Linked DNA regions of Macaca mulatta. The protein of the gene in region 1 purifies or fractionates together with the protein of each later gene. This does not show direct contact. Links are inferred from orthologs where the notes say so. Each region holds a gene or a part of one and is shown on either strand. Other genes may lie near its edges.

Region 1 (4,514 bases):
GGCACCGAAAACTATATTACCCATTCACCCCTTTGGATTAAACACTGCCATCATGAGGAGTCAATCCGGATACTGAATCATTTTACAGGAAATACAGGTAAAGAGGAATATGTTAAGTGACTTCTTGGGGACAACAGGCAAACTACAGAACTCTGGTTTCTTCGACAAAATTGCAAGACCTGAAGGGAAACATCGATTTTTAAAATTTGAGAAGCATTAGCCAACCACAATGAACCTTGTCTGGAAAAATTTGGTAAGACACCTGGTTAGTGAACACAGATTGGATGTGATATTAAGGAACAGGTCACACATTGATCATAGTTGAAGTTCGGTGATGAGACATGGAGATGCATTTATATATATATATATATATATTTTTTTTTTTTTATTTGAGACAGAGTTTCACTCTTGTTGCCCAGGCTGGAATGCAATGGCGCGATCTTGGCTCACTGCAACCTCCACCTCCTGGGTTCAAGCCATTCTCCTGCCTCAGCCTCCCGAACAGCTGGGATTACAGACATGCACCACCATGCCCAACTCATTTTGTAATTTTAGTACAGACAGGGTTTCTCCATGTTGGTCAGGCTGGTCTTGAATTCCTGACCTCAGGTGATCCACCCACCTCGGCTACCAAAGCGCTGGGGTTACAGTGTGAGCCACCGCACCCAGTCCATTGTATTATTCTGCTTGCAAATCTTTCCTCCTACCACCCACTCAGCAAGATTTGGGAAGCATGGGTAAATGATGGAATTAAAAGGTCAATTTCTTAGGATGGCTATAAGACCAAACGTAAACTTCACTTAATCTATACCTAATCTAATTAGAAAACATCTGCCTAAGAATTAGAGAAAGAGCTGGGTGCTGTGGTGGCGCGTGCTTGTAATCCCAGCTACTCCAGAGGCTGAGGCAGCCTCTGGATCCTAGGCTAAAGATCTCTTGAGCCTAGGAGTCCGAGGACCAGGGGGAATAAAAAAGAGCTAGGGAAAGATCTACCCCCAGGGTACTGGGGCCTGCTGAGGCTGCTTGCCCTTGAGGCTTTCTTAGAGGAGCCAGAAAACCTGGGCCCAAAACCCACAAGGATAGGGGCTTGGATGGCCCAGGAGACGCCTAACTGGGACAAGACAAGGAAAGAGCTTTTAGAGTATTCAGAACAGAAAACTGCGGGGAGAGCAACACCAGTTCCCTCCCCACGTAGCTCCCACATCAACACTTAGCCAGCAACTCCACTCTACAGAGTTTATTGGGTTTATAACTGGACGAAGTCACACGTGTACAAAATGAAGCTCACACTATCCCAAAGCAGACTAGGGACTGAGGGCTGGGGATCCGTTACTGGCCTTTGGGAGAGCTCTGAGGTGAGGGGTGCAACCGACCCTCCCACTCCAGAGGTGCGGCCACAGGCGTGGGAAGGAAAGGGAACCCACCTGGCTTTGGTCACAGAACTCAGAGCCTGGCACTAGGCCAGGACAGACAGGTGGAGGGGAGAGCAGGAGCCTCAGAACTTCCCTGTCCAGGGAGCCCAGGGGCTACTCCACCAGTCCCACTTGCAATGTGCTTGGCCCAGACCTAGACTCAGGGGCTGGTGCAAAGGGAAGGCAGCAAAGCAGGAGGGAGGAGACACTGATGTGTGGTGGGAGAGGGAGCGGCACCTGGACCTGTTGAAGAGGGTGGGTGGGGAGGTGGGCTAGCTGCCTAGTGGCAGCTAGCAGCGAGTTTCATAAATGCCGCTGCGGCCAATGTAGCGCACCCATTTGATGACATCATGGTCGCTGTAGTTCAGCTTCGGTTCAAATACCTTCAAGTAGCGCACCTTGAGGCCAGAGGGCGCAAATGGCACCTGGGCAAGGACAGCTCGTTAGAAATGTGGCCTTCCTCTTACAGCTGCTCTCCTCTGGGAAGTCCCGTTGCCCTGCTCTACTTCATCTCTACTACAGGTGTTTGAATGGCTGGGGTCCTTAAAGAAGCTGGGGTGGTGAGGGACCCTCTAAGAGGTGGCTGAAGAAGAAAGCCCTGCCAGTGACACCCGGAATCAGTTCCTTTCATCAGCAGGAGACAGCAACCAATGAACTGCTTTAGAACATACTTATCCTGCTCAATATTATGAACTTAAAAATAAGGTGGAGAAAATTATGTCTAACATGCACAAAGCAAAGTCAGTCCATTATCCTGTCTGTAAGTAAACTTTGTGTCTTACCTGGCATTTAAACAATCTAAGTTTTTCGAAAGAACTGTGTTAGGACAAGCTAAGAGAAGTGAAAGATTTGCCTCACTATGAATAGTAACTTCTACTAAGAGGCTTGAAAGGGGAAGAATGGATCTATGAATTAAAGCCAGTTCTTTCTAGGCCTCAGTTTCCTCACCTCTAAGGTGCAGCGGTTTATCGGAATGATCTCTAAGAGCTTTTCCAGCATACCCTGGCATGACTTTAGGCCCCTCCTCTGCCATACCTCAAAGTTCATGGAAATGGGGGGTCGAGCCCATTTCTTCTTGTCGTTGGTAGGCAGAAGCTCAATCTCTGCGCTGATCTGCGATTCCTTCATGCCTGCCATGCGCTTGATCCTAGGAACACAGGGACAACAGGCAGCCCATTGTAGCTTGGAGAAGTTTCAAGGGCAGTTGCCCATTTTAAGGAGCACGCCCAGGAGCTTGCAGGAGGTGCCACAAGAAGTGGTCAGGACCCTGCTAACTACTTGCTATGGAAGCTTGGGTCTACTTCTTTAGGACAACAGGATGCAGTTTCTGCCTAGACACTTGGGCATGCTATCTTTGCTTTGTCAGCTTCACAGATACATTACAAAGGCAAGCAGGGAAATGCCAAAGCATCTTAAAAAATAAGCACGTGCATGAACCCAAATGCAGGCGTGTACATACTCACATGGAGGCATAAAGGCTGACAGTACAAGCAGAGGCTCCTAGAAAAGCAAAGAGGCACACTCCCCCACCCCTCATTCAGAAGGATCAAAGGTGAAAACAAGAGGGTACACTGGGATCTTGAACCTGCTGTGGCCTAATGAAGGAAAGACTCACTTCCACACGATGGCATTCTCGCTGGCCTTGTACTTGGCCTTCCCCTTCATGCAGATCACCTGCACCCCACTTGTGTTCAGTGGGGTTGGGATCCTCACCTAGAAGTGACACACCTGTCAGGGAGCTCTGTCAAGCTGTGACATCAGCTGCCTTTATTCCTAGGGACAAGTTCTTCCTCCTCCCCAAGCCCCCTGTCCTCACCTCAATCTTCTGAGCCAGGAGTGAGGGTTTAAAGTTGGACTTGATGACCACCTTGACCTCCAGTTTGGTGCGTCCCACTTCTCGCACTAGCGGGATCACCCGGAAGGGAAGGATGATGTCCTTGGTTGTGCGATACCTTAAGGGATGGGAAGCAAGGTTACCAAAGAGCTGACCCACTTCCTCTCCCCAATCTGCCAGCAGCACTGGCTGCCTCCTCACACCCCAATGGCACCTCATAAGCTCAAACTCTCCATCTGGTGGGATAAAGCTGATGCTGCGTTCAGAGTCAAACTTGCTGAGTCGTACACACTGGTGGAAGGTGCAGTCATCAATGGCAATTGATTGCTTCCCACTGCAAGCAGGGGCAGAAGAGGAGGTCTCATTGGTACAGGAGAATGACAGGTGTCACGCTGGGAGACCACTCCACCCCAGGCTGGCACCAGAGACTATGAAAAGCTGCTAGAATGCAGCTTTCTGACTCAGAGGTCTGCCCCAGAGCTTGGGATGAGAGGGAAACCTTGTAAACTCATCTCTTGGGGGCCCTGCTGCTTGGGACCTGGGTGTTTCAGGCACACTGGGCAGAGGAGGCTATCAGTATGTACAGAAGAGGCCTTGGTCCTAGGGACCAAAAAAAGGGGCTTGCTCTGAGGACAGTCCCCTCATCTCTCTTAGCACCAATGTCAAGAGCGAACAGCCAGGCTTACCGTCAGGAACAGAGTTTGCAATTACAGTGGGAATGAAATCCAGAAGAAACTTGTGGTTCACTAGACCCCACCGAGCCCTCCAAGAGACACCCTTTCCCACCAGCTCTCCTGCCTCAGGCACCTCTTGCTTGTTTCATCAGCTGTGCCTTTGCCCTGCTTTTCAATAACAATCTTGTCATTCATCCCAAACTTGCATTCAGGCATGCCACTCAGGTAGCTCTTCATCACCACCCGGCCCGACACATGGGCACTCAGCACCTGCCCTGATGATGGAACAGATAAATGGGGAGCAGCAGAGTCAGGCAGGCAGACCCAGGATCCTGCCCTGGTCCCCCTCCAGCTTTGTTGTGAGAGGGACCTCACCTTGTGGGGACATGAGCAGGTTCACACTCTCCAGCACATCCAGGAAGAGCTCATTCCGGCGATACTTGATACCCTCTCGCCGCCAGCCAATCTGCCCAGTCACCTGGCTGGTGATCTGTGACTGCTCTTCTTTTGTCTACATGGGAGCAGAAACAAACAGCAAGAGCCTCACTCCCCTCTCCCTTTAATCATCCTGTCTCTATCCCCACTCCACCCTCA
Region 2 (4,643 bases), on another chromosome or scaffold:
TGGGCATGGTGGTGTACGCCTGTGGTTCCAGGTACTTGGGAGGATGAGGTGGGAGAATCTCTTTGCTTGAGCCCGGGAGGCAGAGGTTGCAGTGAGCCAATATCACGCCACTGCACTCCAGCCTGGGCAACAGAGTGAGAAGTTGTGTCAACAACAACAAAAAAAGCTAAATTATCTTTTAAAAAAAAAGTGCTAAGAGTAATGCAAAGTTGACGACTTCTAAGACTCTAAAAGTGAGTAACTAGAACAAGGAACTACTATTTTCTTTTAGAAAATGATTTAGATGAACCATGTTGTTTGATTTTCTTTCTTAAACTGGTTCCTATAGTTTCAGTCACATCATAAGATTGTTATTAATTAAAGGAAAGAAACAGTAACAAAGTAAAATTTTAAATTATTTTCTGTTTCAGAGTAGGAAAGCAGATTAACTGTGTAATTCATTACTCTTTTTACATAATTCAAAGTTCACATAATTAAAGGGAAAAAAGATGCTCTGATGCAAAGATACAAAAGTTATTGCAATTATGAGAATGATGATAGGTGTTCTGCACTTATAACTATTTCTTAAAGACTCCTGGCCTCCTCCCACTTTGGAGGATCCTAGTGTGTGTGTATATATATGTACATATGCACACTAGCATATATTATACATATATATACACACGCATGCTAGTATATAGTCTATACATCATATATAAAATATATGTATTACATATATATTTATACTCATATATTTCTACTCATAGTATATAAGTAGTAATCTAAACTCTGAAATTATCAGACATTTATAGATTTAAAAATAAGAACACATTGTCTTTACCAACTCAATTTTAAAGTGATGTTGGGATACATTTTTTAAATGCCATCTTTCATTTTAATAAAAAAGAAAGAAGACTGAGCTTACACTTTAAAAATCTAGATGCTGAATTATTGGGTTTCATACTCACTGACAATCTCACAATTGTTGAATAAAGTGAAACAAGAGGACAGAGGCTAATCTTCAACAGAAATGACCCTCTCACTGGAGTCTTTCTTACCATGACTATGTCTCCTGGCTGGATAGTGATTTCATCATGGCTTCTGGATTCAAAGGGGTACAGTGCCCGGTAATATACCACTTTTACGTTTTCCTGTGCAGAAATGGTAAGTGGACCTTTTTCTGTTTACAAAAAAGGTGGGGGGACAAAAATAAATAATTACAGAGAACATAAATGTACGACAACAAGCCAAACAACTAACCTCTCCTCTATTGCCTATCTTCACCTCTGAACTATTTCCCTCCATTCAAGGAATTTCTGAAACACATACTGACTGCCAAAGCAGAGCCAAATCTGACGTCAGCAACTCAAACCCATCAGAGAGTTCATTGGTGACTCCCTCTAAACAAAGGTCATTCCAAGGCTGAGTGTAGCCAGGCTGCCTAAAGGTCCCTTGTCTCTGCCTCTTGGCTTGGGCTCTAGCAGTGCAGATCTGTAAAGCATCAATACCCCCTCCTCCCTACCCAGCGTGTTGAGTACAATGTAGCAGTTAGGATACGACCCAAAGTCTGAATCAGCCAAGGAGCAAACTTGTTTGGGAGGGAACAGAGGCACCAGTTTCCATACCAAAACATGAAAATGCAGATGTTTTAGGCTCTTTAACATGGTCATATAAAACCTAAGTGCTGATTTCAGTTATACTGATAATCCCCAATGAAGAAACTCTTCCTATACATTTCTCTGGGAAATAATGAGCCTAAGGATGAACCCTAGATGAAAATAATTTAGATTTTAAATGAAACAAAATGTTTAGAAATGCACATGAGCAAAGGATATTTTGCATTCTGGTTAGCAACAACTAATAACAGACCTTTGGGCATTTTTACTCAAAAGCTACAAGTATTTTGACATATAACTCTCTTATCCAGAAAGCAATGAGGGTAAAGTATTATCTCCACATGATTTTGAACTGTATGACATGCAAGATTTCCTACTGACTGAAGGCGAAAAAACAAATCTTCATTTTATACTAGGAGGACGCGTGAAGAACTTAAACTAACTGCCTAAGATCAATGGTGAAATTATTTTCAGATAGAAAAAAACTATCAAAAAATTGATTTGCCCCTCCTATGACATGGTTGCTACTGTGTAGGTCTGATGACCTGCCAGTCTTTCCCCTGGACTGCACGCATCTGAAGGCAGGTAGGTGCCTACTGCATCTCCATACCTCACGCCCATCTCAGCCCACTATGCAGCTGGGAACCAGTAAACCTTTACAGAATAGCTTGAAAGTGTTTTTTCTTTCTTTTCTTTCTGTATACCGCAGCACTAAAGCAGCACACGGATGACCAAGCAAAATTGGTATAATTTTCCACACAAAGAAAAAGCAACGACTTGCTTCCGCTGAGCATTATTTGCAAAACTGTACAATCACACAACCACACAGGAATCTTAAATACATTCTAGCTTACATCTGTTATTATAAAGGATAGCTTTTCCTAGCTATTCCAATTAGATCGGTCTTTCATTTATCTTTTTGTTCAGTCTTTTATTTATCCTTTTTTTTTAAAAAAAAAAAGGCAAATTAGGCCAGGCATGGTGGCTCATGCTTGTAATTTCAGTACTCAGAAAGGCCAAGGTGGGAGGATTGCCTGAGGCCAAGAGTTCAAGACCAACCTGGGCAACAAGGTTAGAACTCCATCTCTACAAAAAAAAAAATTAGCTGGGCATGGTGGTGCACACCTATAGTCCCAGCTCCTTGGGAGGCTAAGACAGGAGGATTGCTTAAACCCAAGAGTTTGAGGCTGCAGTGAACTATGACTGTGCCACTGTACTCTAGCCTAGGCGACAGAGTGAGACTGTCTCAAAGAAAAAAGAAAAGCAAAGAGAAGTAAAGAAAAGAAAAAGCAAATTATGTTCAAAGGACAAAACGCTGCCACTTTTCAAAAAGTAAAAGCAGCTCTATGCAATGCAGACCGAAGACAGCGAATACCCCATCAGTGGAGGCAAGGGTGAAAGGTGCCACTTTCTGTTGCAGAAACAGCCCAGAAATTCCAGGGAGGGAAATAACAAACCAGAGAAACAGCAGGTTCTTTTGCAGCATATACGACCAGTGGAACTTCACGCCACTTGTTAACTCTGTAGAGGACTCGTGGATGCCGGTGTAACGTGGGCCAGAGGCTGGCATGGTGATGGGAGAATTACACAGATCTCAACTGACCCTGGGGAAAGAAGAGCTGCCATGCTCAAAATAAGAGACTGATGTTCTCATCTGTTAATGTAGCCAAGACTGGTCCTGATGAGATATGGGCGTTTTTCAGGAGGATCTGGGAGAGAAGATGACTTATTTTCTAGAATTATTTTTGGCTTCTAATACCTGAAGTGGACCAGGGTGCCTGGACAGCTGGCTTAGCTGGTTCTTGGTGCTGATGGAAAAGCCGACCCAGCTTGTCTTGTGCTTCCTGTTTGCCTTTCTCCTCACCATCCTTCTTTTTGATACTCTCCTCCCTTTTCAGTTTTTCCTCCTCGTGGAGTTTTCTTGGTCGCTGATGCTCGTCCTCCTGCTGCACATGCTCCAGCCACTGCTTGTCCCTTTCCTGAGCTCGTCTGCCAACAAACACACTTGATTACAGCAAGGAAGCAGCTCTAAGTTAACACTACTGTTGCCTCTTTTCACAAAAAAAGCTCCATCCAGTAAATGGGATGGGAAACATCAAGGGAACATTGTTCTTCAGACGGGGCAACTGAATCAGGGCTTCAGTTCTGAGTGAGAAGAAATCACATGATTTAGGAAAACACAGAAAATTTCTGATGTATTTTATAAAGTGGTTACAAGAATAAGAAACACACTTAATAATAAAGCGGGTATTAAACTGACCAAACAGAGCCATAAAACACAGAGAACATAACTTCTATAAAAATAAAATACACCCAACACTGTAAATGAAATATCACTTAAAATAAGTACATGATCAATCAGATCATTAAAATTTCCCCCCAGCAAAGGGTACAACACATTTACATGCATACATGTTGCTCCCCAAACCTGAAGCTGAAAGCAAGGGATTGTTTTATTGACTTCAACTACTTTGATTTTGTTTTTCTAAGTAGCTACCACAAATAGATAATTGTAATTAAATCTAGGCCTTGTAATTTTTGATGGCCTCAACCTGAAACCCACAGTAAAAGACTGAGAATGATTTTTCTCATTCTATAATACTTTATAAAGTCAGAAAATACTTTAAATGAAACTAATATGTAATAACAAATGATATAATAATAACTAGCTCTCCATATATTAACTCCTTTAAACTGCGAATCAGGTAGGTAGTCTTAGTATTACTCCCATTTTACAAATAAGGAAGCTGGGGCAGAGATATTAAATGACTTGTCCACATCACACAATCATATGTGCCTGGGCTTCAATCCCAGGCAGCCTGGTCCCAGAGTCTCCACCCTGAACTGCCATCCTGTGACATGGCTAACGCACACAGGTCATTGGCTAGAATTAGGAATTTGCCACGGGAACATAATTGAAACAAATTATACTTTTATTCTCCATTGTCAAAAAATTACATTTATTGCTACTCTGTATGAATGTGAAATTTTTATGCAGAAGTCTTCAAACTTAAATCTTAAACATTTTATTTACAATTTTTAAAATGT
Region 3 (4,643 bases), on another chromosome or scaffold:
AGAAGTGATTTTCTAAAGATCACAAAACTGGGCTGGGCACAGTGGCTCAGCCTGTAATCCCAGCACTTTGGGTGGCCAAAGCAGGTGGATCACCTGAGGTCAGGAGTTTGAGACCAGCCTGGCCAACATGGTGAAACCCCTGTCTCTACTAAAAATACAAAAATTAGCCAGGCATGGTGGTGCACAGCTGTAATGCCAGCTACTTGGGAGGCTGAGGCAAGAGAATTGCTTGAACCCAGGAGGTGGAGGTTGCCGTGAGCTGAGATCATGCCACTGCTCTCCAGACTGAGCGACAGAGTAAGACTCCATCTTAAAAATAAATAAGTAGGCCAGGCATGGTGGCTCATGCCTGTAATTGCAGCACTTTGGGAGGCCAAGGCGGGAGGATCACCTGAGGTCAGGAGTTCAAGACCAGCCTGACCAACATGGAGAAACCCCGTCTCTACTAAAAACACAAAATTAGCCAGCCGTGGTGGTACATGCCTGTAATTCCAGCTACTCAGGAGGCTGAAGCAGGAGAATCACTTGAACCTGGGAGGCAGAGGCTGCGGTGAGCTGAGATCATGCCGTCACACTCCAGCCTATGCAACAAGAGCAAAACTCCATCTCAAAAATAAAAAAATAAAAATAAATTAATTAATAAAGATCACAAAGCTGGTAAGCTGAAATTTGAACCCAACCATATTGCTCATATAGTAAGTGCTTCATAAATGTTGCTATTTATAACTTATTATCTGACACCATTTTGTTTGTAGACATGCTAACTGCCTGTCTCAGACACCAGAACACAAGCCCTTGAGAACTAAAACTTGATGCTACACCTGCCAGTTGCCTAGAACTTTACCCGGCAAACAGCAAGCACACCATATTAAAATTAAAATGCTGTTAAAAATGAATCAGCAAGGCCAGGTGTGGTGGCTCATGCCTGTAATCCCAGCACTTTGGGAGGCTGAGGTGGGCAGATCACAAGGTCAGGAGATCGAGGCCATCCTGACCAACATGGTGAAACCCTGCCTCTACTAAAAATATAAAACTTAGGTGGGTGTGGTGGCACATGCCTGTAATCTCAGCTACTCGGGAAGCTGAAGCAGGAGAATCACTTGACCCCAGGAGTCAGAGGTTGTGGTGAGCCGAGAACATGCCACTGCTCTCCAGCCTGGGTGACAGAGCAAGACTCCATCTCAAATAAATAAATAAATAAATAACCATCAGCAACCAAGGGATGGCCTAAGGTAGTAGCTCTCAGACTTTAGTCAACACACAAACATGAATAGACATAAGGCCTGGACAAAGTGGCTCACGCCTATAATCCTGGCACTTTGGGAGGCCAAGGCGGGCGGATCACCTGAGGTCGGGAGTTCAAGACCAGTCTGACTAACATGGAGAAACCCCGTCTCTACCAAAAATACAAAATTAGCTGGGTGTGGAGGCGCATGCCTGTAATCCCAGCTACTCGAGAGGCTGAGGCAGGAGAATCACCTGAACCCAGGAGGCAGAGGTTGCGGTGAGCCGAGATCATGCCATTGCACTCCAGCCTGGGCAACAAGAGCAAAAAGACTCCATCTCAAAAAAAAAAAAAAAGAATAGACATAAGAATGCAGATTCCTGCCCCTATCCCCCAGTGATGCCAAGGCAAGTGGTCCTATGACCCCACTCTGAGAAATAACGCTTAAAGAACAGTTCCCAAGCCGGGCACGGTGGCTCAAGCCTGTAATCCCAGCACTTTGGGAGGCTGAGACGGGCAGATCACAAGGTCAGGAGATCGAGACCATCCTGGCTAACACGGTGAAACCCCGTCTCTACTAAAAAATACAAAAAACTAGCCGGGCGAGGTGGCGGGCGCCTGTGGTCCCAGCTACTCCGGAGGCTGAGGCAGGAGAATGGCGTAAACCCGGGAGGCGGAGCTTGCAGTGAGCTGAGATCCGGCCACTGCACTCCAGCCTGGGCAACAGAGCCAGACTCAGTCTCAAAAAAAAAGAACAGTTCCCAGTACCAGGCGGGCTCTCTGACTGCCCCTTCTGCCACTCTCCAGGTTAGAGTATTCCCCCCAGGGCTGAAGCCTAAAGCTTGACCTCCAGATAGGGCAGCTGATGTTGGGGATGCTTAGGAATCAGCACAGCAGGAAGGCTTCCTGCCTGCAAGCTGGAGAGAGCTGTGGGCAGAAGGCAGGCTGGTAACAATCGCCCAGCCCGGGGAAGGCCAGGAGCATCAAGCTGGGCTGGGCAGGGTGGGGAGGTAGAGGCACAGGGCTGGCACCCCAGCGTGGTCAGAGGCTGACACTAGACACTCACTTCCAGAATCCCAGGGTCTCCGAAGGGCTCCTCAGCACAAGCTGCCGGGGCAAATGCTCTCAGCTTTCCACACCCGAGGTGCTCACTCCAAACGAAATTTCATTTCCCACCACTCACCTTGGCATACCTTATGCTGTACCCATCTCCCTAAATACACCAGGTGTCTAAAAGTCTTGGCCTCATTCATGTTCTCTCTGCCTGGAATGCCAACCACTCCCACTCTATCTGCCTCCTTCAAGGTCCAGATCAATGTCACCTCTTTCATGAAACCTCCCCAGATCACACTAGCTGATGGTGGGTCTAGGCCTACACATTTGGTCTCTGTGCTGTGACTCATCTCTCACACTACACGTGAGCAGAGACAGTGTCTCCATTACCCACTCACTCAGTACCCACTGAGCACACACTGGGAACCAGGAACTGACATGTTGATGATTTCACAGTAACAAACAAATCCCAGCCCCGGCCTCTCAGGGGAAGGCAGACGCCATAAAGGCCAACTAGAAGGAGCCCCTTACCAGCGTGTGCAGAATCAGCTTTGGGTGCCCGCCTTTCTTCTTTGACATGGACAGGTACTACATTACCAATCCACGTGTGTGACGGGGGGAAAACCATGGGGCCCAGCTGCCAGTGAGAAGAGGAGCACACAGGTACCGATCCAGCAGTCGCCCACTGAGCACTAACCTGAACTGGGAGCAACTGCTGGCTGGGTGAGGGATCCCCCTACAGCCAACTGCTCCCCAGGGGGAGGGATCAGGGTGGAGGTTTTGCCCCCTGGGGGAGGGGGAAGCAGGCTCAGCCCTCCTGTGCTGGCAGGCCGGGCTCGGGGATTCCCGGCTGCTCCTTCCTTCTTCTTCATGTTCTAAACAGGGAAGAGGAATGCAAATCAGCCAGTTCTGCTGCAGTCCCAGTGCTACCAGAAAACCCCACGAGGAGGGCCAAGGTGACCCCAGAGCCCTAACATCTGTCTAACCAAAAGATGGTCCTACCTAGCATGGTTATGAGCTACACTTAGTGCATCATCATTCTGAATCTATCACAAATAAGGTCCATTTTAAAACCCAGCACCCCACTTCATTCATCAGGGAAATGCAGATCAAAGCTATAATGATAAACCATTACACACTCACCAGAATGGCTAAAATGTAGATTATCAAGTATTGACTATGACATGGAGTAACCATTCATGTGCTGCTGATCGAAGTGTAAACTGGTAAAACTACTTTGAAAAATTACTTGAAAGGATCTATAAAGCTCAACATAGGAACTTAAACTTATGACTCCGCAATTCCACTCCTAGATATAAACCAACAGAAATCATACATATATGCACCAAAAGACATGAACTCAAACATCTACAACAGCACTATTTGTAATCGCCCCAAACTGGAAACTACCCAAATGTCCATCATCAGTAAAACATAAATAAATTGGATGAATTCTCACAATGGTACATGCCACAACAGTGAGAATGAACAAACTACACACAACACCATGGATGACTCTTACAAAAATTACATTGAGTAAGAGAAAGAAATCATCCCAAAACAGGATTAGGTGTATGATTCAACTTATGAAAGTTAAGAACAAATGAAACCTACAGTATGTGAAGTCAGTATAGGGTTACTCAGGGTAGTTACTGGGAGGGGCCAGGAGAGGTGTTTCCAGAGTGCTGACTATCTTTTGCATCTTGAGCGAGGTGCAAGTTTATAAATTGGGTTGTTTTGTTTTGTTTTTTTGATCCAGAGTTTTGCTTTTGTTGCCCAGGCTGGAGTACAATGGCTTGATCTTGGCTCACTACAACCTCCGCCTCCCGGGTTCAAGCAATTCTCCTGCCTCAGCCTCCCGAGTAGCTGGGATTACAGGCACGCACCACCACGCCCGGCTAATTTTGTATTTTTAGTAGAGACGGGGTTTCTCCATGTTGGTAAGGGTTGTCTTGAACTCCCGACCTCAGGTGATCCACCCGCCTCGGCCTCCCAAAGTGCTGGGATTACAAGCAGGAGCCACCACTCCTGGCCTATAAATTAGGTTTTTAAAATTTCACTAAGTTCTGCACTTATGATTTGTACACTTTTTTACATGCATATTATACTTCAAGAAAATGCTTAAAAAAAAACTGAGCACCAAGCATGAGCCAGAAACCAGCACAAGTCACACAGATGAAGATAATATGTTCCCTACTTGTAAGGAAAGCAGCAGCTTAATAGAATAGTAAGTCCAGCCCTGAAGTCAAAAGACCTCAAAGACCTCAGTGTGAGTACAGATGTGCCAATTATTTGTAGCTCTGTGACCCTGGGCAAGTCCCCAACCATCCCTAAGCCTCCATTTCCTCATCTCACAGAGGAAAGG

What was found.
Region 2: the proteins of AP2M1 (region 1) and ITSN1 purify together in Homo sapiens (affinity purification with mass spectrometry; 3 studies listed by BioGRID and IntAct, counting the BioPlex papers as one, with this or other methods). This does not show direct contact. The link is inferred for Macaca mulatta from reciprocal best matches to the Homo sapiens genes AP2M1 and ITSN1.
Region 3: the proteins of AP2M1 (region 1) and NECAP2 purify together in Homo sapiens (affinity purification with mass spectrometry; 4 studies listed by BioGRID and IntAct, counting the BioPlex papers as one, with this or other methods). This does not show direct contact. The link is inferred for Macaca mulatta from reciprocal best matches to the Homo sapiens genes AP2M1 and NECAP2.

Annotation. Positions count from the first base shown.
Region 1 is NC_133407.1:96,316,571-96,321,084, reverse strand, and holds the end of AP2M1 (AP-2 complex subunit mu), read right to left. Parts: intron 4,432-4,514; coding exon 4,296-4,431; intron 4,196-4,295; coding exon 4,054-4,195; coding exon of another isoform or gene 4,045-4,053; intron 3,581-4,044; coding exon 3,461-3,580; intron 3,365-3,460; coding exon 3,229-3,364; intron 3,126-3,228; coding exon 3,028-3,125; intron 2,560-3,027; coding exon 2,448-2,559; intron 1,838-2,447; coding exon 1,703-1,837; 3' UTR 1,229-1,702; downstream 1-1,228.
Region 2 is NC_133408.1:13,590,765-13,595,407, forward strand, and holds part of ITSN1 (intersectin-1), read right to left. Parts: intron 3,585-4,643; coding exon 3,355-3,584; intron 1,160-3,354; coding exon 1,038-1,159; intron 1-1,037. UniProt on the Homo sapiens protein: Adapter protein that provides a link between the endocytic membrane traffic and the actin assembly machinery. Acts as a guanine nucleotide exchange factor (GEF) for CDC42, and thereby stimulates actin nucleation mediated by WASL and the ARP2/3 complex.
Region 3 is NC_133406.1:224,572,743-224,577,385, forward strand, and holds part of NECAP2 (adaptin ear-binding coat-associated protein 2), read right to left. Parts: intron 3,154-4,643; coding exon 2,976-3,153; intron 1-2,975. UniProt on the Homo sapiens protein: Involved in endocytosis.